Tribolium castaneum: one gene and its partners. Each later gene encodes a partner of the first gene's protein in a complex. Links are inferred from orthologs where the notes say so. Each region holds a gene or a part of one and is shown in the gene's direction. Other genes may lie near its edges.

What was found.
Region 2: the proteins of Orc3 (region 1) and Orc2 are in contact, whole or in part, in a cryo-EM structure (PDB 7JPO), measured with the Homo sapiens proteins. The link is inferred for Tribolium castaneum from reciprocal best matches to the Homo sapiens genes ORC3 and ORC2. Residues at the interface, in NP_036513.2 of Homo sapiens: Thr3, Ser4, Ser5, Met6, Ser7, Lys8, Gly9, Cys10, Phe11, Val12, Phe13, Lys14, Pro15, Arg20, Ile22, Ile26, Tyr29, Phe30, Lys32, Tyr47, Val111, Thr112, Lys139, Asp318, Lys326, Gln329, Leu330, Leu333, Tyr337, Glu589; in NP_006181.1 of Homo sapiens: Leu239, Glu242, Tyr243, Ala246, His247, Asp268, Arg273, Leu276, Val279, Ser280, Phe283, Glu286, Leu287, Leu290, Lys296, Leu297, His299, Lys300, Met302, Leu303, Gln304, His306, Leu307, Phe309, Tyr314, Gly315, Leu316, Arg320, Glu324, Arg327.
Region 3: the proteins of Orc3 (region 1) and Orc5 are in contact, whole or in part, in a cryo-EM structure (PDB 7JPO), measured with the Homo sapiens proteins. The link is inferred for Tribolium castaneum from reciprocal best matches to the Homo sapiens genes ORC3 and ORC5. Residues at the interface, in NP_036513.2 of Homo sapiens: Glu99, Val109, Met144, Lys145, Leu148, His178, Ser180, Met181, Asp182, Glu223, Asp232, Ile235, Ile236, Gln239, His240, Ala253, Thr254, Ser255, Pro256, Ile257, Ile258, Ile259, Arg261, His265, Ser269, Cys272, Ile273, Glu274, Leu275, Ser280; in NP_002544.1 of Homo sapiens: Asn62, Val64, Glu65, Phe67, Thr68, Arg70, Leu71, Gln75, Tyr129, Leu270, Arg271, Ser274, Ser275, Ser276, Gln277, Leu294, His297, Thr298, His299, Val300, Glu301, Leu302, Pro303, Tyr304, Tyr305, Ser306, Asp360, Tyr367, Arg373, Pro376.

The regions. Positions count from the first base shown.
Region 1 is NC_087398.1:1,395,537-1,399,653, forward strand, and holds Orc3 (origin recognition complex subunit 3), read left to right. Parts: upstream 1-1,302; 5' UTR 1,303-1,451; coding exon 1,452-1,478; intron 1,479-1,661; coding exon 1,662-1,805; intron 1,806-1,857; coding exon 1,858-2,136; intron 2,137-2,185; coding exon 2,186-2,671; intron 2,672-2,720; coding exon 2,721-3,032; intron 3,033-3,079; coding exon 3,080-3,370; intron 3,371-3,416; coding exon 3,417-3,647; intron 3,648-3,707; coding exon 3,708-3,892; intron 3,893-3,953; coding exon 3,954-4,056; 3' UTR 4,057-4,102; downstream 4,103-4,117. UniProt on the Homo sapiens protein: Component of the origin recognition complex (ORC) that binds origins of replication. DNA-binding is ATP-dependent. The specific DNA sequences that define origins of replication have not been identified yet.
Region 2 is NC_087397.1:6,382,047-6,385,849, forward strand, and holds Orc2 (origin recognition complex subunit 2), read left to right. Parts: upstream 1-1,410; 5' UTR 1,411-1,561; coding exon 1,562-1,568; intron 1,569-1,624; coding exon 1,625-1,810; intron 1,811-1,857; coding exon 1,858-2,736; intron 2,737-2,784; coding exon 2,785-3,018; intron 3,019-3,063; coding exon 3,064-3,263; 3' UTR 3,264-3,292; downstream 3,293-3,803. Other genes in the region: uncharacterized protein LOC655336, read left to right, coding at 1-55, 427-959. UniProt on the Homo sapiens protein: Component of the origin recognition complex (ORC) that binds origins of replication. DNA-binding is ATP-dependent. The specific DNA sequences that define origins of replication have not been identified yet.
Region 3 is NC_087395.1:24,006,960-24,010,433, forward strand, and holds the end of Orc5 (origin recognition complex subunit 5), read left to right. Parts: intron 1-469; coding exon of another isoform or gene 470-479; exon of another isoform or gene 480-1,165; intron 1,166-1,597; 5' UTR 1,598-1,627; coding exon 1,628-2,917; 3' UTR 2,918-2,944; downstream 2,945-3,474. Other genes in the region: uncharacterized protein LOC663028, read right to left, coding at 470-479. UniProt on the Homo sapiens protein: Component of the origin recognition complex (ORC) that binds origins of replication. DNA-binding is ATP-dependent. The specific DNA sequences that define origins of replication have not been identified yet.

The DNA.
Region 1 (4,117 bases):
GAGTCAACATATCACTCTGTTTGCCTTATTTGGATAAACGAGTTTCTTCAAGAATAAACAAAACATTGGTTTGTTTATTCTTGGAACATTATGGCAAAAAATAAACAATTTGATACAATTTTTAGGGAGTTAAGCCTCTGTTTTTCCACACGTGATTGTTGCTTTTGTTTTATGTTTCAAGAAACCGTGCAATTATTTCTTTATCAGTCAAACATCGCAAAGTTATACACTTCACCTGCAGAGTAATACGATGACACATCATGTTTCAGAGCAATTTTAAAACCTTATACCTGCTGTGCTTACAAAATGCACTCTGCAGATGGCCAATACCGTAAAACGTGAACCACCTCAAATTAAGTATTTACATAATTAAGTAAGTAACCATGGGTATGTAAAGTATACCTTGACATTAATTTAAAAACTCTTTTCGGTGGGTTTTTTTCGATAAAATCTAAAATGGAAACGCTTCAAAGCACTAGTAATATTTTTTATTCTTGCGTTGTTTAATTATTTAACATCTCATAGTCATAACTCATAACTAGAGTTAGGTGTTTAGTGTTGCCTTGATTTTTGCTCTTGTTCTAATAACGTCTGGCTACAGATTAATAGGTTAATAGGTAGCCAAGCTTGCAAGATGCTATTTTAGCAGATGAACATAATCGTAAGCTGAATATATGGAGTGAGGAAGTTCAATGCTACTACGTATAATAAATAGAACGTTAGATTATGGAAAGGTCTGTGTCAGATTACAAAGTTTACTGAAATTTAAATAAAATGTTGGGAGTTCCACTGTACTTAACTCTGACGGAAGTACACTTTCCTGCTTTAGGAGTGCATTAAATTAGTAATAATTTTTTTATTTATATATTATTTTTATTTATTTATTTATTATTTATTTTTTGCTTGATACACCTAATAAAGAAAGATCTCTCGTGCGCTAAATTATTTTTTTATGGATGCGATTTTCTTAACTATACCGTAACTAGCTATCCTCTCCCTCAAAATGTTTTTTTTTGAAATTCTTATAATCAGTTATTATTTATTTCAGAAAAAAAATAAAAAATACAAGTTACAATGTTACAATTTACAAATTCTTTACACGCCACAATAAAGCTTTTGAGCATGCAACCAACAATACAGTGATAATATTTTTAGTTTTATTTAATTTTTGATTAACACAAATTAATTTAGCACAGCCATAATTGGATATATTTAGTGTGACACAGCACAGTAATATTTTTAATCAAAATTTGTATTTTTTACTTTTATGGTTTTGGAAACTTTTCATAAAAAGCGCCACCAGCTTCAAAATGGCTCGTAATGTCAAATGTCATTTTTCAAATTGTTGTTTGTTGTAACAATTGTAACTTATTTGTGATTACTGAACAATTTTAATCTAAAAAATTTATTTAGTTTTACGCAATAGAGTTACGTGAATATTGTTTATTGAAATGGCTGCGACCGTGTCCGTTTCAAAGGTAATATTCGAAACCTAACCTGAAAACTTGTGTTAAAATTGCGCTATTTTTCCTTTGTAACACTCTTTTATCAACGTTTTCCGCCTCTGATATGCGTACTTAACACTAGTTTATTGCAAAATCAAGATTCAGTCGTACTGAGATTGCATTTAATGATTGTTCACAATTTGGCGCCAATTTCAGGGTGTTTTTGTCTTCAAAAATGGGGCTAAAGCAGCTTCAAAAAAATCCAGAACGAAAGACAAACGTACCCAGAGTCTCTACTGTGATAGCTTGTGGTATAAAACTTACAAGTCTTTGTGGGAATCAATCGAAACCCAAATTCAAGTACTAATCCTCACTTTCGTGCGCTAAGTATTTTTTATTTGATTTATTTTAGGAATTAAATAACGCCATGTTTTCCAATATCCTTTGTAGTTTAGTAAATTTTCTCAAAAACTGTTACAAAGACACAGTGAGTGAAATCCCAGCCGCAGCTTTACTCACTGGCATAAACATGCCCGACCATTCAGTCCAATTCAAAACGCTCAAAAAAGAAATCAAACGCTCAATAACACCACACGTTGTTACTCTCAGTGGCGAGGATTGCCACAGTTTGAAATATCTCGTTGAAATAATGGTCAATCAATTAGTCAAAAGCGAACAACTTATAGATGAGGTAAGAAAGTAAAAGGCGTTTCGTTTCAATGATGCAATGATTTCCGAAGGATTCTGACTCAGACACGCGCCAGATTAAAAAATCACAGTGCAGTTTCACACTTCTCCAGGCCTGGTATGAGGAACTCTACCAACCTCCAGGAACCGCCAACTCGCCAAAAAAGCAAAAAACCAAACACAATAAAAACATAATCGTTGTTATAATCCCCGATTTTGAGAATTTTGCCCCGAAAGTGTTGCAAGATTTTATCCAAATCGCGAGCTCGTATCTAAACGTTTTACCCTTTGTCTTTGTTTTTGGAGTTGCGACGTCCCTTAACGCCGTTCATCGGTCACTCCCTTGTTACGTTTCCTCGCGCATTAACATCCAGGTTTTTCACTCAACTCCCTCCACGGTTTATTTGAACAACATATTGGAGAATATTTTATTTTCGCGCCAGTGCCCCTTTCACTTAGGCGGCAAGGTTTTTAATTTATTCACCGACATTTTCCTATTTTACGATCTTTCAGTCAGCGGTTTTATCCAGAACTTTAAGGTGATTGCGCCGAAAATTGTGTCACTTTTTCGTGAAATTTTGGTTTTAGTACGCCATGCTTGAGCATTTTTGTTACGGCAATGTTATGGCCCTCTGTCAGAGGAAACACATCAAGCAAATTATCTCCGATTTCTCGCACGATGATCTCGAAAATGCTCGTCGGTTGATGTCGTTCCGAAAACTGGTCGAGAGTGAATCCCCGGAAGCCCGAATCGCGCTCCTGACTGATGATAATTATTTCAGAAATGTTTTGCTGCGGGAAGTGCGCAAAATTGTGGCGTATTTGCCGAATTTGCACTTGTTTTTGAGGTGCTTGCACGTTCTTGTGGGGGATTTACCCAAAGCGCCTTTGGGGAAACAGGTGTCAAGTATTTTCATTGCAATCGTCAAATTAACTAGGTTTTGAAGGTTCGTGAACTGTACGCGTGTGCCGTTTCACGAAATATTACCAAAAGTCAGGAATATAAAGAGTGTTTCCAACTACTGGCGTTTCAATCGAGGGACGAATTGTGTAACAAAGTGAAAAGAATCACGGATTTAATTGTTAATAACAGTGAGGGTTTGGAAGTGGGGCGTGTGATAACCGATAGGCTTAACCGTTTTTTGGATAATTTACACAATCTTGATCAGGAAGAAGACGAAAATGAGGTGGCCCAAGAGGGCATAAGTGAACTAATGGGGAGATTACAACTCAGAGAGGTTTTTTCCGGTGATTTTTTATTACGTGTCTAGTTTTTTCTTCCAGAAATTGCTCCAAATGTCGAAGCAAAACAAACCGATGAACAAATACGAGAAAATCCGCTCAGGCTTACTCAATTTTTTGTCCGAACAGTTCGAAATATATTTACAGGAACCGACCGATTTTCACTTTCACGAAATTTTCTTCTTTAACGACATTTCAGTCCAGACTCACATCATAGGCTCTCACAGGGCGGCTATTCACACAGCGCTCAATGACCCCCACGTTTATTTACAGGTAATTATTTTTTTACAATACTTGTGTTAACACGAAGGGGAAAATACTGTATTGTTTTAGTGTCCTTGCTGCGAAATTGCCACCGATTCTGTGATCCTTCCCTCAATGCCTGACATCAGTATCGTCTACAAACTCCACTTAGAGTGTGGGAAAATGATTAATTTGTACGACTGGCTCCAGTCTTTCCTTAGTATTGTTGACCCACAGGAGACTGAAGACAACCCGAAAGTCAGTCCTCAGTTGCAGTATCCTTTTTTTGTTTTTATTTTATTTTTTTTAATAAAATTTGACTTAACGCACATTTAGGGCCCGATTTACGCAGGCTGTAGCCGAACTGGAGTATTTGGGATTCATCAAGAGCTCCAAAAGGAAGACTGACCATGTGGCCAGACTCACTTGGGGTGGCTAATTTTTTCTACCAATGTCTTTATATTTATTAAATTTTTCTACCAATACTTTCGCCAATAATT
Region 2 (3,803 bases), on another chromosome or scaffold:
CCCGATTTTTCCAAACACACCCCCTATTGCCAGAAGTTTCTCCAGAACTCGATTGGTAAGTTATCTCAATTATCACTTATCACTGACGCAAATTTTCAAATGTTGACTGAATTTTTTATCGCACTATTTGCTTCAAAATCGCGATAAATGTTTTACGTAACGCTGTTTACTACGTCCCAACTCTTTGTGTTTTTAACCACACTTCATTGTTAATTTTGCACCACGTGTCCACAATAAATAATTCCAAGTGAATTCTTTGTTTTCCTTTCGTTAATATGTGGCCACCCGGTATTGAAACTTATCTAACGCAAACAAGTCTAAATCCAGTTCATTGTTGAATGGCCGTCCGCGCGCACCATGGAGCCCCTCCCCTTGACCGGTAACGCCATTCCCTTGGTGGTAACAGCCCCATATGGTCTTTTCCAGATAGTACCACGGCCCAACAGGTCCGCTTCCCCTCCGCCACCAAGACCAAGTCCAGTGGCGTGGACGACGGTTTCAAAGGCGAGGCCGCGAAATGCGGCACTTCTGTGGTGCGAGTGGCCCACCAGATGGTGTTAGGGAAAGCCATCCGTGGCTTTGACATCCAGAAAAAAGATTGTGATTTGCCCCCAGAGGGTTTCAACCCTTCGTTACGTCGAGGGAGCAAGTCGTTGCCCGCGTCGCCCCTGACGTCCCCCAACTCGTCCCCGAAAAGCACGCGACGCGTGAACAAATACTTCACGGGGCCTTTTGTCGACTCCGAACACCAGGGCAGTTGGATTTTGTCGAATTTGTTGGCCAAGAGGCAGAATTTGTCACAGAGTATGGGCTTTATCGCTGAAGAGGAGAAGGAGATGAAGAGGACAGAGTCGAATTTGAGTGTGGATGAGGTGTCGAATGGCAAGAGGAGTCAGGTGTTTGTACCCAAACCGTCAGAACTTAGGGAAATGAATTTTTGGTCTCCCACTTCCATGTGAAGTGGGCACATTTAATGTTGTCTAAGCAATATCTTTAATTTTTAGTTGGTTTCTTTTAGACATTGATTATTTTTGTAACTGTAATCATAATGCTCATTAAATTTATTTAAGTACACCAAAATCGTGTTTTAATGCCGCAAGATCGACCTCAAAGTCGCTAGTTATTTTAGAACACCCGTGGGTGGTATAAATAGAATTTGTTCTACGACTCGGGTTTTGGCGGGGTTACTTCCAAAAAACGTTTCCATGAGGTAATTAGGGGGCCACATGCTCGGAATAAAAAGCCAAAAAAAAAATATATAAATTCACACCAATATGATAACTTGACCGAGACTATCCAAATAATAGCAATTGTTAGTTGGTAAAGATTACTAGCATAGTAAATTATGCTGAAATTTCGTCCAAACGTTGCTTTTTACTCTACATACAGCTTTCCAAAAAATTTTAAAAATGACTAAATGTCAAGTGTATAATTGGTTGCATAGTCACTTTGTTTTAATTTTAAGTTTGGAGGGCGCCAAACGTTTTAATATCGAAATATTAGCAACAATTTGCACTAAACTTTAATTATAATTGCTGCTTAAGGTTACTAGTGGTCTGAAATGGCAGGTTTGTACCAATTTCTCTCTTATTTGACCTGAGAACCCACCTAACCTCAATTTTAGACGACTGTGCAGACCCTGAGTTATTTTCGCCCCGCAGGGGTTCCCGGCAACGCAATTTGAGTCTAAAAGCTAAAGAATACGTATCTACTTCCAGTAGGAGGAAACGTGGCTTTAAAAAACTGAATATTTCTACAGCAACTGAGTCTGAGGACGATTCCAATTGTGAGAGTAGTGAAAAACCAACAGGTGGACCATTTGCCTGTTGTATAACTTCCTTCATGAGTTTTTTGTAGTTTTGCACGATAATGACCATGTCCCTGGTGATAAATTATTCACGTTTCAAACGCGCAAAAAGTGCGAAGTCGTTCAACAAACGCCGCACGCTTTTAGGGACAAAATGAGGAAAAATATCGTGGCGAAAATTTTGGAAGAGAATGGTTCGAGCGGAGATGATTTTTCAGCCAGTGAGAGTGAATTCGAAGTGTCTGAGGAAAATTCAGAGGAGTCTTCCAGCAGTGACGACACACCGCCTCCCCCGCAAAACAAAAATATTAAACCCACTTTAGGAGCGAGAAAAGTCAATTACACTATAAAAACAGACGATTATTTCGCACAACACGCCAGTAAAAAAACTCTAACGTCCAATCACACTTTAGATAAGTTGGAGACACCAAGACTGCCGCAAGACCAACTGCATAAACTTTTGTCGAGAGTTAGCCTAGGGTGTGAGCATGAAAAAGCCACGAAAAAATTAATCGAGACGAATTGCGCCTATTTTGATAAGTGGATGTATTTGATGCATGAAAATTTCAATATTTTGTTGTATGGGTTGGGCTCAAAGAAGGGCGTTTTGAATGCTTTTCACGAAAAGTGTTTGAAGAAGTTGCCAACGGTTGTCGTGAACGGATTTTTCCCTTCATTATCAATTAAAGATGTCCTTGACGGGATTATTTTAAATTTACTAGAACTGAAGGAAAATCCCTCAAATATTTACGAGGCCTGCGACCTTATCGAGCGCGAATTTAGTTTTATTCCCGAAACTCATTTATACCTCATTGTGCACAACATCGACATGATGCGGAGTGGAAAAGCCCAAAGTGTCTTTGCAAGACTCGCGTCAGTCAATAACATTCATCTAATCGCGTCAATTGACCACATAAATGCCCCCCTAAGTAATGAAAAATTCTAGTAGTGCGCAAAAACTTTGATTGTTGTTTTAGTTTGGGACCATTCCAAAATAAGTAAATTCAATTTCACGTGGTGGGACGTTACCACTTTCCAACGCTATATTGACGAAACGTCCTTCGAAAGCTCAATGTTGGTCCAAAGGACCGGAAACCTGGCCTTATCATCGCTTCGGAACGTTTTCTTATCACTGACGAGCAACTCCAAAGGAATTTACTTAATCCTCGTCAAGTATCAAATCGAAAATGGCAAAAAACAATACTATCAAGGTGATTTATCAGTTTGTGCGTTCAAAACTGATTGATTTGTTGCAGGCCTGGCGTTTAAAGACTTGTACTCTTTGTGCCGCGAGGCATTTTTGGTGAGTTCGGACCTGGCATTGCGGGCCCAACTCACCGAATTCGTGGACCACAAAATGGTGAAGTTCAAGAGAGCGCCAGACGGGACTGAGTATTTGATAATCCCGATTGCAAACGCGTTATTACAGCAATTTTTAAATGAACATTCCGGTTGATTGTATTTTCCAATAAAAATTTAAGTTGGCGCTCGCGTTTGAATCACCTGCTGCCATCTTCGTGGAAGACAGTCGAACTAAAAAACAAGATGGTTTCGCAGTGCTGAATTTTATTTGAGTCAAAAAATCGAATTTTTCGCTTGGTTCAGACGATCATTGTTCGAATTGTACGCAAAAATGTTATTGTGTGTCGTTTCGATATGTCGCCGCCGTGAAGGCGCATGAATGCGTGGTGAATTCCTGGGTGAGTATCATATGTTTATTTTTGAAGGTTATCTTTTGTTGGTGCTTCCACTTTTCGGGTCGTTGGGACACGCGAGGGGGCCGAAATGGCCCCAATGTGGCTGCTCGTAACTGTGCCGAAAGCCGGCCGAGGCGGTGTGAGAATGACCGGAAATTGTGGCAATTTGTAAATAAAAACAAACAATCCGTTTTATCTCTCGGTGTGAACTTTCCAAGGTTAAACCGTCTGCGTGCACGGGGGTGGCAGCCAGTGCGAGGCTTTAGCCCCCCGCGTTATTAATTGACTCCGTTTTGCTC
Region 3 (3,474 bases), on another chromosome or scaffold:
CTGAAAGCTAATCTATTTTTCAGACCAAACTCCAACTACATAACAGAATTATCAGCAATTTGGGAAGATTTCATTATATTGTTACAAATGGTTCAGTTACTTTGCAAATTCGGAGGTAATTATAACCGTTAATAAAAAAGTAACCGAATTAAGTTCGCATTACGAGCAATTTTTTCCGTAAATTTCCGAAATTTCATGGTCCAAACATCACAAGCCACTTATCCTAATGCATTTAGTCGTTTATTGCCCCACCGTGCGTCTCCTATCAATAGATCTGTGACAAGCCGATTTTTTATGTGTCCATAAAGCAACCTCCCCCAAGTCTATAACTCTTTATAACGTCAAAGAAGGGCCAGTTTCTCTTCAGCGTCGTTTATATATCTCGTCCTTAATCCAGTCGAGATCACATTAAATATTTGTCGTCGGCGGCGGTAAGCAAAGCAAAGAATGGAAGGGAAAAATCGCTCACCCTTTTCCATCGTCACTCAATCGCGCCGTAATGTCATTTCTTTATTTATCTTGGAGCAAGAAATCACATCGCGTCGCGGCGGCAGCGTCGCGGTGCGTCTTCCCAACGTCCTTTTTTTGGTCGGTGTGTGGCGTGGCAGTGGTGCTTTTACGAACACAAGTCGCGGCGGCAGATGATCGTCTTCGCGAGCACGAATCTCGACTGCAGGAGGCTCGAGGTCACAACCGCTTCCACCAGGAGTCTGCAAGCGGGTCGCAAATCGATGAGGGCGGACTACGCAAGCTCCACTGTCACTGGCGCCCCGCACACACCATTTTTTAGACACTATCGCCCCGCAATCGGACATTAGACGCACTTACTTCGACGATAATTACCCAAAGAAGAAGTTTTGACGAAATGAAGGCGACGAGAATGGCGACTTGCACAACGGGGCTTTCGCGTGTAAATCAAGAGATAATCGAAGAAAGTCGATGGGAAGGAGATGGTATTCCGGGCACGCTTCCCATCGTCCGGAATTGATGGCGACGTGAGCTTTTGTTGGGCGGGCGAAAGGCTACGATACACTTTTTCCTCGGTCGGATTAGTAATTTGATGCGGATATTGCATTCGTGTGTTTGGTATCGATTCTTTGGAGGAGAAATGTTTCGGAATGGGATTGTTTTGCCGGACGGCTACTGACGTAGATTTAATAAATCATTTTTTCGATTAATTGGAGGAAAAATTGGACAAAGTCTACAGAGCACTCGAACTGAGAAATGCGATGTTCTTGCCAAATTTAAATTATTTATTTAAATGCAACCAAAATGTTATTCCAGAAACGTATGGCTCGCAGCAAGACAAGAAAAGTCGTGGTTTTGTCTTGAAATTAGTACCAAGACCGAAATTATTAGTGTGAAATATTCAAGAACTTTGGTCCAAAAAAAGCTTATGAATTTTTCAAGATTAACCACCCCCCTCTTTGTCACCAAGACGATTTTTGCTGACGTTTTTCAAAATTAATAATGAACCGGAACATCAATTGTTATTAAAATGTCCACGGATGATTTTTCTACTGGAGCCAAGTTAAGAGTGTTTGACAGTAGATTAGATGAAATATGTTTTTGGTTTGGCATTATGACATTTGAGCAGAGGATTTGTTCTGGTTGCAGGTTAATAGCGATGATGTCCACACTATCTCGCCTGGAGTCGACTTTGCCCTGTCGCTCCTCCCAAATAGGCCAACTTTATAATCTCTTCGGGCACAACGAGGAGCCGTTTCCTGGCAGCGTTTACATTAGCGGAGGTCCGAGCGTCGGCAAATCCATTGTTGTTAGTCGAGTTTTGGAGGAAGTTGGTGTTAAGCATGCAGTTATCAATATGATCGAATGCTACACCAGTAAAATCCTGTACGAGACGATTTTGAGCAAGCTTTGTGGCTTAGTGGATACGAAATGCGAGAACATGATGGATTTCATTGATCATTTGCAGCGGAATCGGTCCGAAATACACCGATCTGTGCTAATTATCGACAAAGCCGACAAGCTCCGGACTATGGATTTCAACATATTTCCGGGATTTCTCAAACTCAAAGAGCTCACCGGAGGGATTCACATAAGCGTCATTTTCCTCTCACAAATCATCCTTCAGAAGTTCTATTCCAAAACTAACATCGTCGAGCCGATTCAAATCACCTTTCCTCAATACAACAAAGATGAATTACTGGAGATCCTCACGTTGGATATCGATTATGCCCGAAATCTGATTATCAATAATGCGAAAGGTGGAGGGTTTGAATTTGACGTCGACTTTTATCGAAATTACTTGAATGTTTTTCTTTCGGTTTTTTATCGAAACTGTCGGGACTTGACAGAACTTCGTTATATCGCCAGAAGTAACTTTCTCAACTACTGTCAACCGATCATCAGTAAAGAAAACACCATCAGCGATTCGCTGGCTTTGTGGAGAAAAGTCGCACCCACTCTCAAACAAGCCCTGCAGAATCTCTATCTGAGAGTCTCAACAGTCACTCTACCGCAGAGCCTCGAACTGCCCTTCTATGCCAAATATCTACTAATTGCTGCCTATCTAGCCAGCTATAATCCTGCAAAGGACGATAAGAGACTGTTCATGAAGTATCACGGAAAGAAAACGAAAACTTTGAGAGATGTTAAGAAGAAAAGTAAAGTGAGCGAACAGCTGAACACTGTCCTGGGACCCAAACCCTTCAGTTTTGATAGATTGCTGGCGATTTTTTATTCCATAGTTGAGGACAAAGTCGGTTTTAATAACAATCTATTGGTACAAGTGTCAAGTCTAGTGGAACTGCAATTGCTATCGAGCTTATCCGATAGTTCAAGCCTGGATGGAGCCAAATACAAATGTAACGTCAACTTTGATTTCATCCAAACAGTGTGCAAGATGGTGGGTTTCAACATTCGCAAATATTTGAGTGATTTCAGTCACATGTGAATGAGTTAATACATTTTTCTAATATAAGATTGATTTTTTCTTTATGCCCGTCCTTCGGAAGTTAAATCACTTAGCTCTATGATGCGCCTTGTTTTACGATTGGTCCGATTTTTACTATTGGTTATCGAGGCGAACGTTTATAGCTGGAAGTTACGAGGTAGGTAAGGAGTGTGGGTGTCTCGAGAGGATTGTCTTCTTTTTGCCAAAGGGGAAATCAGAGCTTGGCTCGGTAAACGCAGTAAAAGCATCGTCAATGGATATTCACGGAGTGTCTTAAAAAAATCGCGCAAGGGATGTAATAAGCTGCTAATGCGAGGTTACGACCGCGCGTATATCAAATTTGATGGTATTGACGGAGGAATTATGTCATTAGGCCGCGGCCTCGATGCAACGATCGATGCGTTTCATTGTGTGTAGGGCACAGCGGGTACAAACGTTGGGGGTAACGGGACGGAGCGGGATTGATGGGCCAGTCGGCGTTTGATGAATGATATTTTAACTGTTCATTGTCCATACTGAGGGGAATTCGCAATTTGCGGGTATTTTATTTCGGTTTA